Linked DNA regions of Saccharomyces cerevisiae S288C. The protein of the gene in region 1 binds, or shares a complex with, the protein of each later gene. Each region holds a gene or a part of one and is shown on either strand. Other genes may lie near its edges. A codon is read from its position in the direction of its gene.

Region 1 (2,623 bases):
AAATTATAATTTGAAGTACAGCGGCGTTAGCGAGGACGATGATGAGATTCCAGAGTTTGAAATACCGACAGAAATGTCGTTAGAGCTGCTACTTGCGGCGGACTATTTGAGTATATAGGTACAGGAAAAACAAAAAAGAGTTAGGAACTCTTTCAAAAAATTATATTATATGGGTGTGATGTTGCAGCATATTACTCTGATATGTAGAAAATTGAATGCATTGTTATAGCGTACTTATGTGTAACCCTTCCACATAACGGAATGCAAGGTATCATTTGGCATCATATATGGGAGGTGCTATTATAAAAACATGTAGTTAATAGCTAAAACAGTTTTCGCCTTCTCTCTTTGAGATGTTACCACATAACTACATGAACTTCTATGTGCAGATATGCCGCATAAAATGTAAGAATCTTGCTTTTTTTATGAACCTATGCCCACAAGAAATGGGCTAAAATCTGTCTGTGCCTTTTCAATTACCCATAAACCACCACCTAGTGTCAACGTCTAGCACCCCTACTCAAACATCTCTGTAAATGAGCTGCTAGTCTGTTTGCGGACACATCCCTGCCACAATTCTCACAGTGAATATACTGAGAGGACTCTTGTTGCTTCTGTAGTCCATTAATATCGAGAGATCCGTTCGGGTCGAAATAATAACTGCGAAGATCCGGATATCTTGTCTTCAGCAATTGTTGTTGAGTGGTTTCCCGAGCTACAATGTCCTGGATCAATGTGGTTAACAGGTTATTCAGTATCCCATTTGAAATAGAATCTATAGTAATAGTTTCTTCGGTCATCGCAACAGGAAAACCCCGTAACCTAAAGAATTTGAAGGATTATTATACTGCTCTGCTCAACGGAAGAAACGCTAAGTTACTTCTTCGATTCCTCAGAATCAAGAAAATAAGCAAATCACTGCTATACATATAATACATGCATCTATTATATAACAATAATCCAAGATACGAAAAGGAAAACTTGATTTTTTTTCTGCGGAAGTTTCAGAGCAGAAAAACTCTGTTACCCTATATTGCGTCATAAATAAGATATAGATAAAACTACCTAGCATACTTTATAATAAAAGGCGACATGAAGGATAGTACGAAGAGATTATTTTAAGACCTTACCGTCAACAATTTCCTTTGGTTCGCCATTGACGGAAACTGGCTTATCCCAGGCCCACATGTTATTGATGAATTCTTTGTCGTCGTCGTTAGTTGGATCCAACTTTGCATAGTCGTAAGATTCCCAATCTGGTGCGACATCGAAAGCTGGAACGTAATCTTGGCCCCTAACCATAACTGCACCAACAATACCGTTGTTGTTGTTTTCACCGTAGACTACCAGACAACCGAACATGTACTTGGTAGAGGCGGACAATCTGTTGAAGAAACCACCGACCAAGTTGTTGGACATGAAAGTCAAAGTCAATTCATCGTTGTACTTGTAGGTGACTTTCCACAGGGAATACTCTTCTGGGTTGTAGTGCTCCCAAAACCAAGGTAAAGCAACTGGTCTGGTGTCTTCATTGGAGTACTTTCTCTTCCAGTCATCCAAAACGAAAGTTGACTTGCCCAATAATTCTAATGGGTGCTTTGGTTTCTTGGAAGAAGTTTCAGTTTCGGTAGCAGCTGGCTTGGCTTCCTCCTTCTTCTTCGAAGCGGCGGGAGCGGCGGCTGGGGCCTTCTTTTCCTTCTTCTTTTGAGGGGGACTCAATGGCTTGTCAGCGAACTTGAAATCCTTGTATTCATCCTTCAAGAAGGGTGAGGCTCTAACGGTGTTGAACCATCTCACGATGGCTGGATGTTGAGCTCTCCATTCAGTACCGAACAGGCTTTCAAAGTATCTGGTGAAAATCGAGGCAGCCACCAAGTCGGCCAAGGAGATGTTTTCCGTAGCCAAATAGGTGTAGTTTTTCAATCTGTTCTCGAAGATGTCGACGATCTTGTCAACAGCGTCCATCGCAGAATCAACGCTCTTCTTGTTGTAGGGGGCGCCGCCCTTCAAGGGAACGATGGTGTTGGCAATCTGGATGCACAGATCACTGTTGGCCAAAGATTGCCATCTGATGATTTGCGCTTGGGCATTTAAGTCATCGTCGGCACCTAAAAGTTGAGTCTTCATCTTGTCGTCCTGTGAAAGCTTTACTAAATAATAGTTAATCGCCATTGCCTCGGTTAGCTTGTAACCCTTTGGACCCACGAAAGCCGGAACCTTCTTCAAGGGAAAGTCCCTTGCGAACTGTTCAGCGGCGGCATCTGGCGTAACAACCTTAACGTCCAGCTTCAAAGCCTTGACAAGACCTCTTGGGACCCAAGTTCTAATTCTGAAGTTAGCATATAAAGTACCTTGAGACATGGCGTGCAAAAACTGTATCTGATCTTGAGTTTCTATGTTCTGTATGCTCTAATAACAGAAAATACAATAACAAGGAGGGAAGACCAATTTGCGGGCTGCCAAGCAACACAACCAAACCCTGCTGATAAACGAAAACAAGAAAACTAATAAAAAAATAAATAAGGAACTCTACAAGGACTACACTAATCATGTCTCACTCCCGCGGATTGAAAAAACGAAAGAAAAAAACAGGAATCAACGCCCAACGACCTGCAGCAGCAAG
Region 2 (4,308 bases), on another chromosome or scaffold:
GGCTAAAACCTGCCGTCCCTATTCAATGGGCTACTGCAATTGATGAAAGCAGAAAGATCTTGCAGAACGGTTCTGTGAACTTTGAGAGGAATGGCCCGCTAAGAGTCAAGAAATACTTTTCTAGGGAAGCAATGACTCAGTCATTTGAAGAAAACGTCGAGAAAGTCATATGGAAAGAAAAAAAGTATTATCCTTGGGAAATATTCGGTATTTCATTCTCTAATTTTATTTTGCATATGGCATTTATAAAAATTCTACCCAATAATCCATGGCCCTTCCTATTTATGGCCACTTTTATGGTATTATATTTTAAGAACTACTTATGGGGAATTTACTGGGCATTTGTATTCGCTCTCTCCTACCCTTATGAAGAAATATAATGTCTACTTAAATAAATAATGTATACCCCCCGAAGAAAAAATAATTTACATTGGAGAAGAAATCTCTAAATGCAAATAGCGTAACTTGTCCACAAACATAGACGTGTACATGTTACTTCGGCGAATAATTTTTTATTACTCACTTCGTGAACATGCTGGATAACGTGCATGATTCAATTAATTTATTCTGCCATTGTAGGGGTTCACAGAATTTCCAATACCTACTTCAATTCTCCCGTTATTGCCAGAGACATTAATACCGGTAGATACACCTTGCCCGGAGCCATTGACGCTGTTGACACTAGGGGGAGATTGGATACTATTTACGCTAGTATTGGGAGAGCTTATGGAGGCTTTCATCGTCATGAGGTTATTGTTACCGTTTTTACTACTATTATTGTTGTGGGTGCCAGATAAATGGCTATCTTGATTTGATTCTTGCATTAATTTGGTAGCGTTGGCTAAATATGAAGCAGCAGCTTCAAACTTCTGTTGTTGTAGTTGTTGTTGTCGTAGTTTTTGTTGTTGTGATTGTATCTCCAGCGGCGTGAGACCTGTGTCTTGAGACTTGTGCTGCTGCTGCTGCTGCTGCTGCTGAATTTGCTTGCTCGACACATTGGCATTAAATGATGAATTCGTTGCCCCGCCGGGGAAATGATTGGGCACCATACCTTGAGTAGGTTGTTGGGTACTGGCCTGGGCCTGCGCTTGGGGTGAGTGATGTTGCTGCTGCTGTTGCTGCTGTTGCTGTTGTTGAGAAAGAAGCTGAGCCTGTAGAGCTCTCTGTTGTTGTAGTCTTTGTATTTGTTTCGGATTGAGGTTTTGGTTTGTGAGGTGATTAATTGGCTGTGGAGTCCTAACACGAAATTTGTAATCTGTTGTTCTATCCAAATCCAAGCATCCTACACGAGAATGGATCGCACCGTAACCTGGAGATGTATATCCTGGTTTCACAGAAAAGGAGGAAGCAAACATTTCCCTCATTCTAAAATATTTAGTCCTGTATCTAACTGACGATAGTACCGTTGACTCTAGTGGCAGTGGGAAAGATCGGGATACCCCATTTAGAACCTGTGTTGTTTCCTCTTCAGGAGTTAGGTTAACGTGTCCTATCTCATTGATATTGTTACCATTGTGTACAGTACTCTTACCACCATTTTTGGCTGATTTCCCACCATTCACATTTCTTTGCTTAGACCTTTGACCTTGTTTCTGTTGCTGAGTATGTTTTTTCTGCTCTTTTTGTATCTGCTTTTGTAATTTTTGTAATTCTTGTTGCTTAGCACGTTTCTCAGCAGCTGCACCAATTTTTGTTTGATGTTCTCTATGATAATCTGCTAGCAAGACGTCGTAGGGCTTGGAACGACCAGAGACAGCCCTCTTTGCACCCATTGAATGGGACTTACATGTCAGCGAACGTGCACAGTAACCACCTTCCGGCAACTCTACACCACACTGTTTGTTGAAATCAATTAAATGCTTTTCAGTTGGGTTTCTTTGTTTGACTTTCTTTTGTTTTTTTATGGAAGAGCTGAAGGTTTGAGGAGTCCCAGTTTTCGATCTTTTCGTGTCCATATTTGGTGTGTTCGCAGATTCCATAGATGTGGATCTTTTCAAAGGGTTAAAAGAAGAGTCATTCTTCTTGTAATTGGCACCATTGGAATTATCGTCGTCATCATCAGCGTCATCATCATCTTCGTTGTCGTCGTTATCGTCATCATCATCATCATCATTGTTATTATCATTGCTATTGTCATCGTCGTTATTATTTCTCCCAGTTGATTCTACTCCATTTCGTATCGTTTCCCTAGTACTCTCATCTCTTGGATCTGTGCTACTTTTTCCAGATGCTCCCGCACAATGGTTTTCTAAGTGGTCTACAATTGCTGTCAAAGCTAAGGGTTTCCCACATTTTTCGCACACTCTATACTGAATCGGTTTATCCAAAGGATCTTCAATGAGTTGTGCATTCGGATTGAAGTATTTTTTTAGACTTTCGCGATTCATGTGATCATACTGCAAAGGAGTGTCCTTCGCGGACGACATTAAACTTTTCCATGAATCGTTGGAAGGACCACTTCCCTGAGATAAAGAATATTCCTCAATAACTTTGGGCTTAATTCCTTTAATCTCTGCATCGCCTGACCTCATTTTAGCTCTTTACTCTTTTGCGCTTCTCTTGTGTGTTCACTATTCTTATTTTTTTGGTTTATTCCGTTTTGGTAAATTAATCTCTAATGAGCGATGCTGGATATCAAAAAGGTTCTAAATAGTAATTTAGAAATTATTTTACAGCTATGAACAACTATATACGCTCTTCAGCTCCACTTTCTTCTGTTCGTAATGATTTTTGTTTCAAAATTGCTTGTACCAGCAATCTAACATCCTATATTCATTCATTTAGCATTTGCATTATGACGCACCTCTGTTTTCTTCGGGTAACTGAGTGAAAAATATCCATATGCTGAAGCACGCCTATTTATCAATGTTTATTATATTAAAAACTATAGATGGCTCGATGAGGTCTTACGTAAGTTTTTATAGTTCTCGCAAACATGATTGATTAATTGGAAGGCAATGGTAGTACTTCCAGGTAAATTGATATCATTTTTGAATGGAACACGATACCCGCCGGCGTACTTATCCAAAGCTTGAATGATTTCAGTTGTATCAAACCATTGAGCATCCAATAATTCGTCGTCATGATTCAGGTTGATAACCTCATTTTTGGAATTGAATTGAACTATGCCTAAACAGCCAATCATCAAACTGCAAGGGTAAGGCCAGGGCTGTGACCGGACTATATCAATATTTTTGCATGAAATGCCTGTTTCCTCCCATATTTCTCTGATACAAGCCTCCTCTATGGTTTCTGATGGCTCCATAAAACCTGCTATTGTTGAATACAATACAAAATCACCGTACCTTTTTTTTGATCTTGCCAGACAACACTTAGAGTAATCCGAATTGGTCAAGGCTATAATGACCGTTGGATCAGTTCTTGGGAAGCAAACGTTATTAATTCTTGCATCTCTCACATTACAGTATACATTCCGATTTTCATTAGAACACTGAAGCTTAGTTCCTGCCTCTACTGGGAATAACGGAGACCCACAACCGGGACAGAATTTGTACTTTGCTAGCCAATCCAGATACATCTTACCTTGTGAATAAAGTGAAGCATCCTCATTTGTTTGTTTGAAAATGTGATCTCTGGTCACCTTCGGATAGGAAAAAATAGGCTCAAAGTCGACTTTCTTGAAGAGTGTGCTCTCAGTAACACGGATATCTAATCCAAAATATGGTGTTCCTTTGTAAGAAATATTAGACCATTCAAAATTAAATGCAGAATCTGTGCCTTCCAGGAGACCTAAAAATGTTACATTGATGCCTGATTCATCGCTTCTTGAGCGAGTTGTGTTCAATAAAGTAGTGTATAAAGGAACTATTGCTGACAAAATATTCTTGTAAGACTTTACAGAATTAGAAAGCTGAACTAGGTCACCATTTTCGGGCGAAATGAGGGCTTCCCCTTCGATAAATGGGATAAAAACGGTAGAGTCATGGTTCAATGATTTTTTGATGAACTCTTTCGAACATCTTAAGAACGAAACTCTGTTCAAGACATGCTGGCCAAAAAAAGTCACAGCAGTGGACATTCTCTCAACTAACCGTAGCGTAATCAAAAAAAAATCAGGAGCAAAAAGGTACAATCTTTATCTTCTCTTTCGTTTCGCTCCTGCTCTTGTTCTTTATTCTTATGGTTGGTGGGCTTTATATTTCGAAGAAAAGCAACCGCTTTTGTAAGTTGGAAAAGTAGATTTATGAAGTGATAGATTAGCCCGTCTGAAATACTTATAACACGAAAACGAATGCCATAATGAAGTTGAAGATACTATAGAAAATAATAAGGAAATCAATCATTTTT
Region 3 (3,675 bases), on another chromosome or scaffold:
CAAGGACGCCAAAGACGGATATTCTTGGAAGTCTCCTTGCTAAGAAAAGAAAATAGTTGTACTTGATCCCTATATTATATTATATCCTATTTATAACCAAGGGCTTGCCTTCGCGAACAACAAGGTATGCCATTTTGAGAGGAGCAAATTTGCATTCTAAATTCATGATAATGATATGTTCTTTAATTATTACTATATATAAACTCACTTAGTTTTCCAGCCTTTGCTCTTTTGTTCGTATAGCAAGGAATGAAAAAAAAAAATCCTGAATAAACGTCATAGTAATTTTCTTCCTTAGTTAGATACAAAGGATTTTGAAATACAGTATATGCACAATCGCAACTCATTAAGAGCATAGGAAAGTATTCAATTTAAAGAAAAACATGATGGAAACGATGATATAGAAAAAAGAACGGAAGCAAGCGTTAACTGTGATAGGAATATGCATAGCTTTTTCTTCTTTTTTGTTTTATTATTATTGTTGAATGCTATTTGCTGAATCAATTTACTTGACGAATGGTGTAGAATAATAAATATGCCTGTTCCTTTAAAACCTCTTCTTGAGATATAGAGGAGACCATGGAATCATTGAATTTAAACCATTGCCCTCCAGAAATTTTACAAAATGCAATATAATGTCCCTCATTAACCGTCCCCTTGTGGGAAACAATACCGATTAATTCGTAAATAATGTCTGGAACCTTGCCATTTTCAGAATGCTTATCTTTTTCCTTCGTTGAACAGTAATTTTTCATATTTAAATAAGTTGGAAATTCAATAAAATCGTCTAGTTTTCTGTTACTTCCATTAAGTAGGTGTTCGAATCTTTTCAATTGCAAAACCAAAACCGATGGTAATTTGTGTATGCCTAGTTGCTTTATTGCATCTTGAGTGCTGTTACACTCCCCACAATGATAGTTGAAATCCTTCAACTGTTCTTTTTTATGGAAACTGTCAAGACATTCATAAAGTTTTTTCTTATCCTTGATATCCAGAGAAAGATCCAAGAATGGATCAATGGTTGTCTTTGAATTATTTTGACAGCCTGGACACACAATAGAACTTTCCAAGGAGCCCTCAAACACAGTATGCACTATGCATTCACACTGCTTATTATTTGCTCTGCTGACTTCCTTGGCATTTGGCAAATCAAGAACATAGCTTTGGTGGATTTGGTTAATTATAAACTGCCAAAATTCATGAGCATCTTGTTGTGAATACCCTGCTAGATTTTGATTGATTTTCCAGGCACAAGTTAAAAGATATATGAATCCGGTTTGCCGATTAGTAGATGTAGATGACGAAGAAGCTTGCTTTGTATTCAGCGCTCCATAAAGTTCATGAACAATTTTATCGAGTGCACATGAAAAACATTTATCTGGAGAACGCACTTTACAATTATTAGAATGAATTTGACTCATTGAGTGCCTAATAAAGTAAGGGTTATGGATTAGACATTGGAGAATACTACTCATGAAACAAGTGGATCCCATGTTGATCAGGCCAGAAAGCCCATCTCTTCTTTCCATGCTAGGAACCATGGTCTTTGTGCACACGTCGTCCCAATACTTCGCTAGGATAGCATCGTTAATCAGATCGATATTCCCTATATAGTCCTCACATTTGAAGCAAAATAAAAGGCCATTATTTGAGTTGATACCAAATATGTGACCAATCTGTTTACTGTGAGAGAGAAAATGCGAATGGTTCCAACATCCACAAAATCCACATTGTAGACACATGAAAGTTGCACCAGAGTTTATTTCGTGGCATGTACCACATTTCATGGTGTTTAAGAATTTTTCCTTGGGTACGGAATGATTTAATATATACCTGGCAGCATTGCACGTTTTTAGAACCCCATCTTTAGACTTTTCATTCTGAAATACTTGCTGTATATGTGGACAAATGCTCATAATTATTAATAACAAATAAAAAAAGCAGGGTTTCAAGTAGGACGACGAGGACCGAAGCTGTAGTTTTCCCTTTTGATCCGATCAATAAATAGTATTCAAAATTATGACAGCCAGTTGAAAGAAATGGACTAACTGGTCTCAAAAGAAAACCTTTATTATTATCCGTAAAATATCTTTTTAGAATTAATCAGGTCCACTAATATAATCCCTTTGCTATTACGACAGCTTTCTAGCCCATATACAATATAAATTATTGATGCTTTTTACACACTATAATCGAGGATTTTTTTTCACTTGAAAAATTCAAAGAAAAGCAAAAAAAGGAAGAATAGAGAAGAAAAAAAAGGTATAAGTGAAGAAAGAATGTGCAATACTACAAGACTATAAGATTTAATAGCTGTAACCATGACGAAGAATGTATTGATGTTACATGGGCTTGCGCAGTCAGGTGACTACTTTGCCTCTAAGACAAAGGGGTTTCGCGCCGAAATGGAAAAGTTAGGATATAAACTCTACTATCCAACAGCACCCAATGAATTTCCCCCAGCTGATGTTCCTGATTTCTTGGGTGAGGTAATTGCTGATGCACCTGGGGATGGTGAGAATACCGGTGTGCTTGCGTGGCTAGAGAATGACCCTTCCACCGGTGGCTATTTCATACCGCAGACGACAATCGACTATTTACACAATTATGTCCTTGAAAATGGTCCATTTGCAGGTATTGTAGGATTTAGTCAAGGAGCCGGTGTAGCTGGATACCTAGCAACGGATTTCAATGGTTTGTTGGGCCTTACAACAGAAGAACAGCCGCCGCTAGAATTTTTCATGGCGGTCAGTGGTTTCAGGTTCCAACCACAACAGTATCAAGAACAGTACGACCTGCATCCAATATCGGTCCCATCTCTACATGTTCAAGGAGAACTTGACACTATCACAGAGCCGGCCAAAGTGCAAGGCCTATATAACTCTTGTACGGAAGACTCTCGCACTTTACTAATGCACTCTGGGGGCCACTTTGTGCCGAACTCAAGAGGGTTTGTGAGAAAAGTGGCTCAATGGCTCCAGCAGTTGACCTGAGGCAAGTATATATAGCACGTAATCTTCACATAATCTTCACATACATATTTATACATGATTAAATCCTCCGGGTAATAATACGTCAAATTAACTTAACTACCGATACGATGCTTCATTATGATAACGATAACAATGGCATCTATAAATGATTTTATTCCTCGTTAGGCCAGTATTAGGGCAGTAAAGACTGTAATGACCAGTACAAGAACGTTGAGATACGCACAGGTTGCCTGTGCTTGTATCTGGTGTCTTTTTTCAGCTGGTATTATCTTTGGATTTGCTGCTTTGAAACCTATTTTAATTTCAGAAGGTGTATACCATGAATTGTGTGATCCTAAGGATGGTGATAGATTATTATGTACTGCACAGGATCTGAAATTAAATTTTATATTTGCTCTCAGTGCTACTGTAACAAACATCATGGCCCTTCCTGTCGGTAAGATTTTGGATATGTATGGACCTCGTGTCTGCGGAATAATAGGATCATGTCTCTTGTTCCTAGCAAGCGGTAATTTTATTTCTGCCAAGCATCTAGTGTCTCTTTGGGACCCATATCTTGTCGGTTACACGCTTTTGGCAGTTGCCGGTCCGTTCGTCTTCATTTCATGTTTTCAATTGGCAAATAGCTTCCCACAAAGATCAGGAACCGTATTGGCCCTACTAACAGGATCATTTGATTCGT

Evidence for each region.
Region 2: the proteins of SGF11 (region 1) and SGF73 are in contact, whole or in part, in a crystal structure (PDB 4FK5), measured with the Saccharomyces cerevisiae proteins. Residues at the interface, in NP_015278.1 of Saccharomyces cerevisiae: Thr5 (codon at 788), Ile6 (codon at 785), Thr7 (codon at 782), Ile8 (codon at 779), Asp9 (codon at 776), Ile11 (codon at 770), Arg30 (codon at 713), Gln34 (codon at 701); in NP_011449.1 of Saccharomyces cerevisiae: Asp5 (codon at 2,519), Ala6 (codon at 2,516), Glu7 (codon at 2,513), Ile8 (codon at 2,510), Asp70 (codon at 2,324), Lys71 (codon at 2,321), Pro72 (codon at 2,318).
Region 3: the proteins of SGF11 (region 1) and UBP8 are in contact, whole or in part, in a crystal structure (PDB 3MHH), measured with the Saccharomyces cerevisiae proteins. Residues at the interface, in NP_015278.1 of Saccharomyces cerevisiae: Asn18 (codon at 749), Leu19 (codon at 746), Thr21 (codon at 740), Thr22 (codon at 737), Gln25 (codon at 728), Asp26 (codon at 725), Ala29 (codon at 716), Arg30 (codon at 713), Thr32 (codon at 707), Thr33 (codon at 704), Gln34 (codon at 701), Gln36 (codon at 695), Leu37 (codon at 692), Leu38 (codon at 689), Lys39 (codon at 686), Thr40 (codon at 683), Arg41 (codon at 680), Tyr42 (codon at 677), Pro43 (codon at 674), Asp44 (codon at 671), Leu45 (codon at 668), Arg46 (codon at 665), Tyr48 (codon at 659), Tyr49 (codon at 656), Phe50 (codon at 653), Ser55 (codon at 638), Leu56 (codon at 635), Asp57 (codon at 632), Ile58 (codon at 629), Leu61 (codon at 620); in NP_013950.1 of Saccharomyces cerevisiae: Met1 (codon at 1,916), Ser2 (codon at 1,913), Glu51 (codon at 1,766), Ile52 (codon at 1,763), Asn53 (codon at 1,760), Ser54 (codon at 1,757), Gly55 (codon at 1,754), Ala56 (codon at 1,751), Trp69 (codon at 1,712), Asn70 (codon at 1,709), Asn88 (codon at 1,655), Asn90 (codon at 1,649), Asn91 (codon at 1,646), Leu93 (codon at 1,640), Asp101 (codon at 1,616), Tyr102 (codon at 1,613), Ile103 (codon at 1,610), Gly104 (codon at 1,607), Asn105 (codon at 1,604), Asp107 (codon at 1,598), Asn110 (codon at 1,589), Val127 (codon at 1,538), Pro128 (codon at 1,535), Ser129 (codon at 1,532), Met130 (codon at 1,529), Glu131 (codon at 1,526), Arg133 (codon at 1,520), Asp134 (codon at 1,517), Leu136 (codon at 1,511), Ile140 (codon at 1,499).

Annotation. Positions count from the first base shown.
Region 1 is NC_001148.4:464,139-466,761, reverse strand, and holds SGF11 (SAGA histone acetyltransferase complex subunit SGF11), read right to left. Parts: upstream 801-2,623; coding exon 501-800; downstream 1-500. Other genes in the region: ELC1 (elongin C), read left to right, coding at 1-118; CAM1 (translation elongation factor EF1B gamma), read right to left, coding at 1,114-2,361. UniProt on the Saccharomyces cerevisiae protein: Component of the transcription coactivator SAGA complex. SAGA acts as a general cofactor required for essentially all RNA polymerase II transcription. At the promoters, SAGA is required for transcription pre-initiation complex (PIC) recruitment.
Region 2 is NC_001139.9:375,832-380,139, reverse strand, and holds SGF73 (deubiquitination module subunit SGF73), read right to left. Parts: upstream 2,532-4,308; coding exon 558-2,531; downstream 1-557. Other genes in the region: ALG2 (GDP-Man:Man(1)GlcNAc(2)-PP-dolichol alpha-1,3-mannosyltransferase), read left to right, coding at 1-380; NPY1 (NAD(+) diphosphatase), read right to left, coding at 2,885-4,039. UniProt on the Saccharomyces cerevisiae protein: Component of the transcription coactivator SAGA complex. SAGA acts as a general cofactor required for essentially all RNA polymerase II transcription. At the promoters, SAGA is required for transcription pre-initiation complex (PIC) recruitment.
Region 3 is NC_001145.3:714,956-718,630, reverse strand, and holds UBP8 (ubiquitin-specific protease UBP8), read right to left. Parts: upstream 1,917-3,675; coding exon 501-1,916; downstream 1-500. Other genes in the region: MRE11 (MRX complex nuclease subunit), read left to right, coding at 1-56; FSH2 (putative serine hydrolase), read left to right, coding at 2,322-2,993; FMP42 (Fmp42p), read left to right, coding at 3,186-3,675. UniProt on the Saccharomyces cerevisiae protein: Histone deubiquitinating enzyme component of the transcription coactivator SAGA complex. SAGA acts as a general cofactor required for essentially all RNA polymerase II transcription.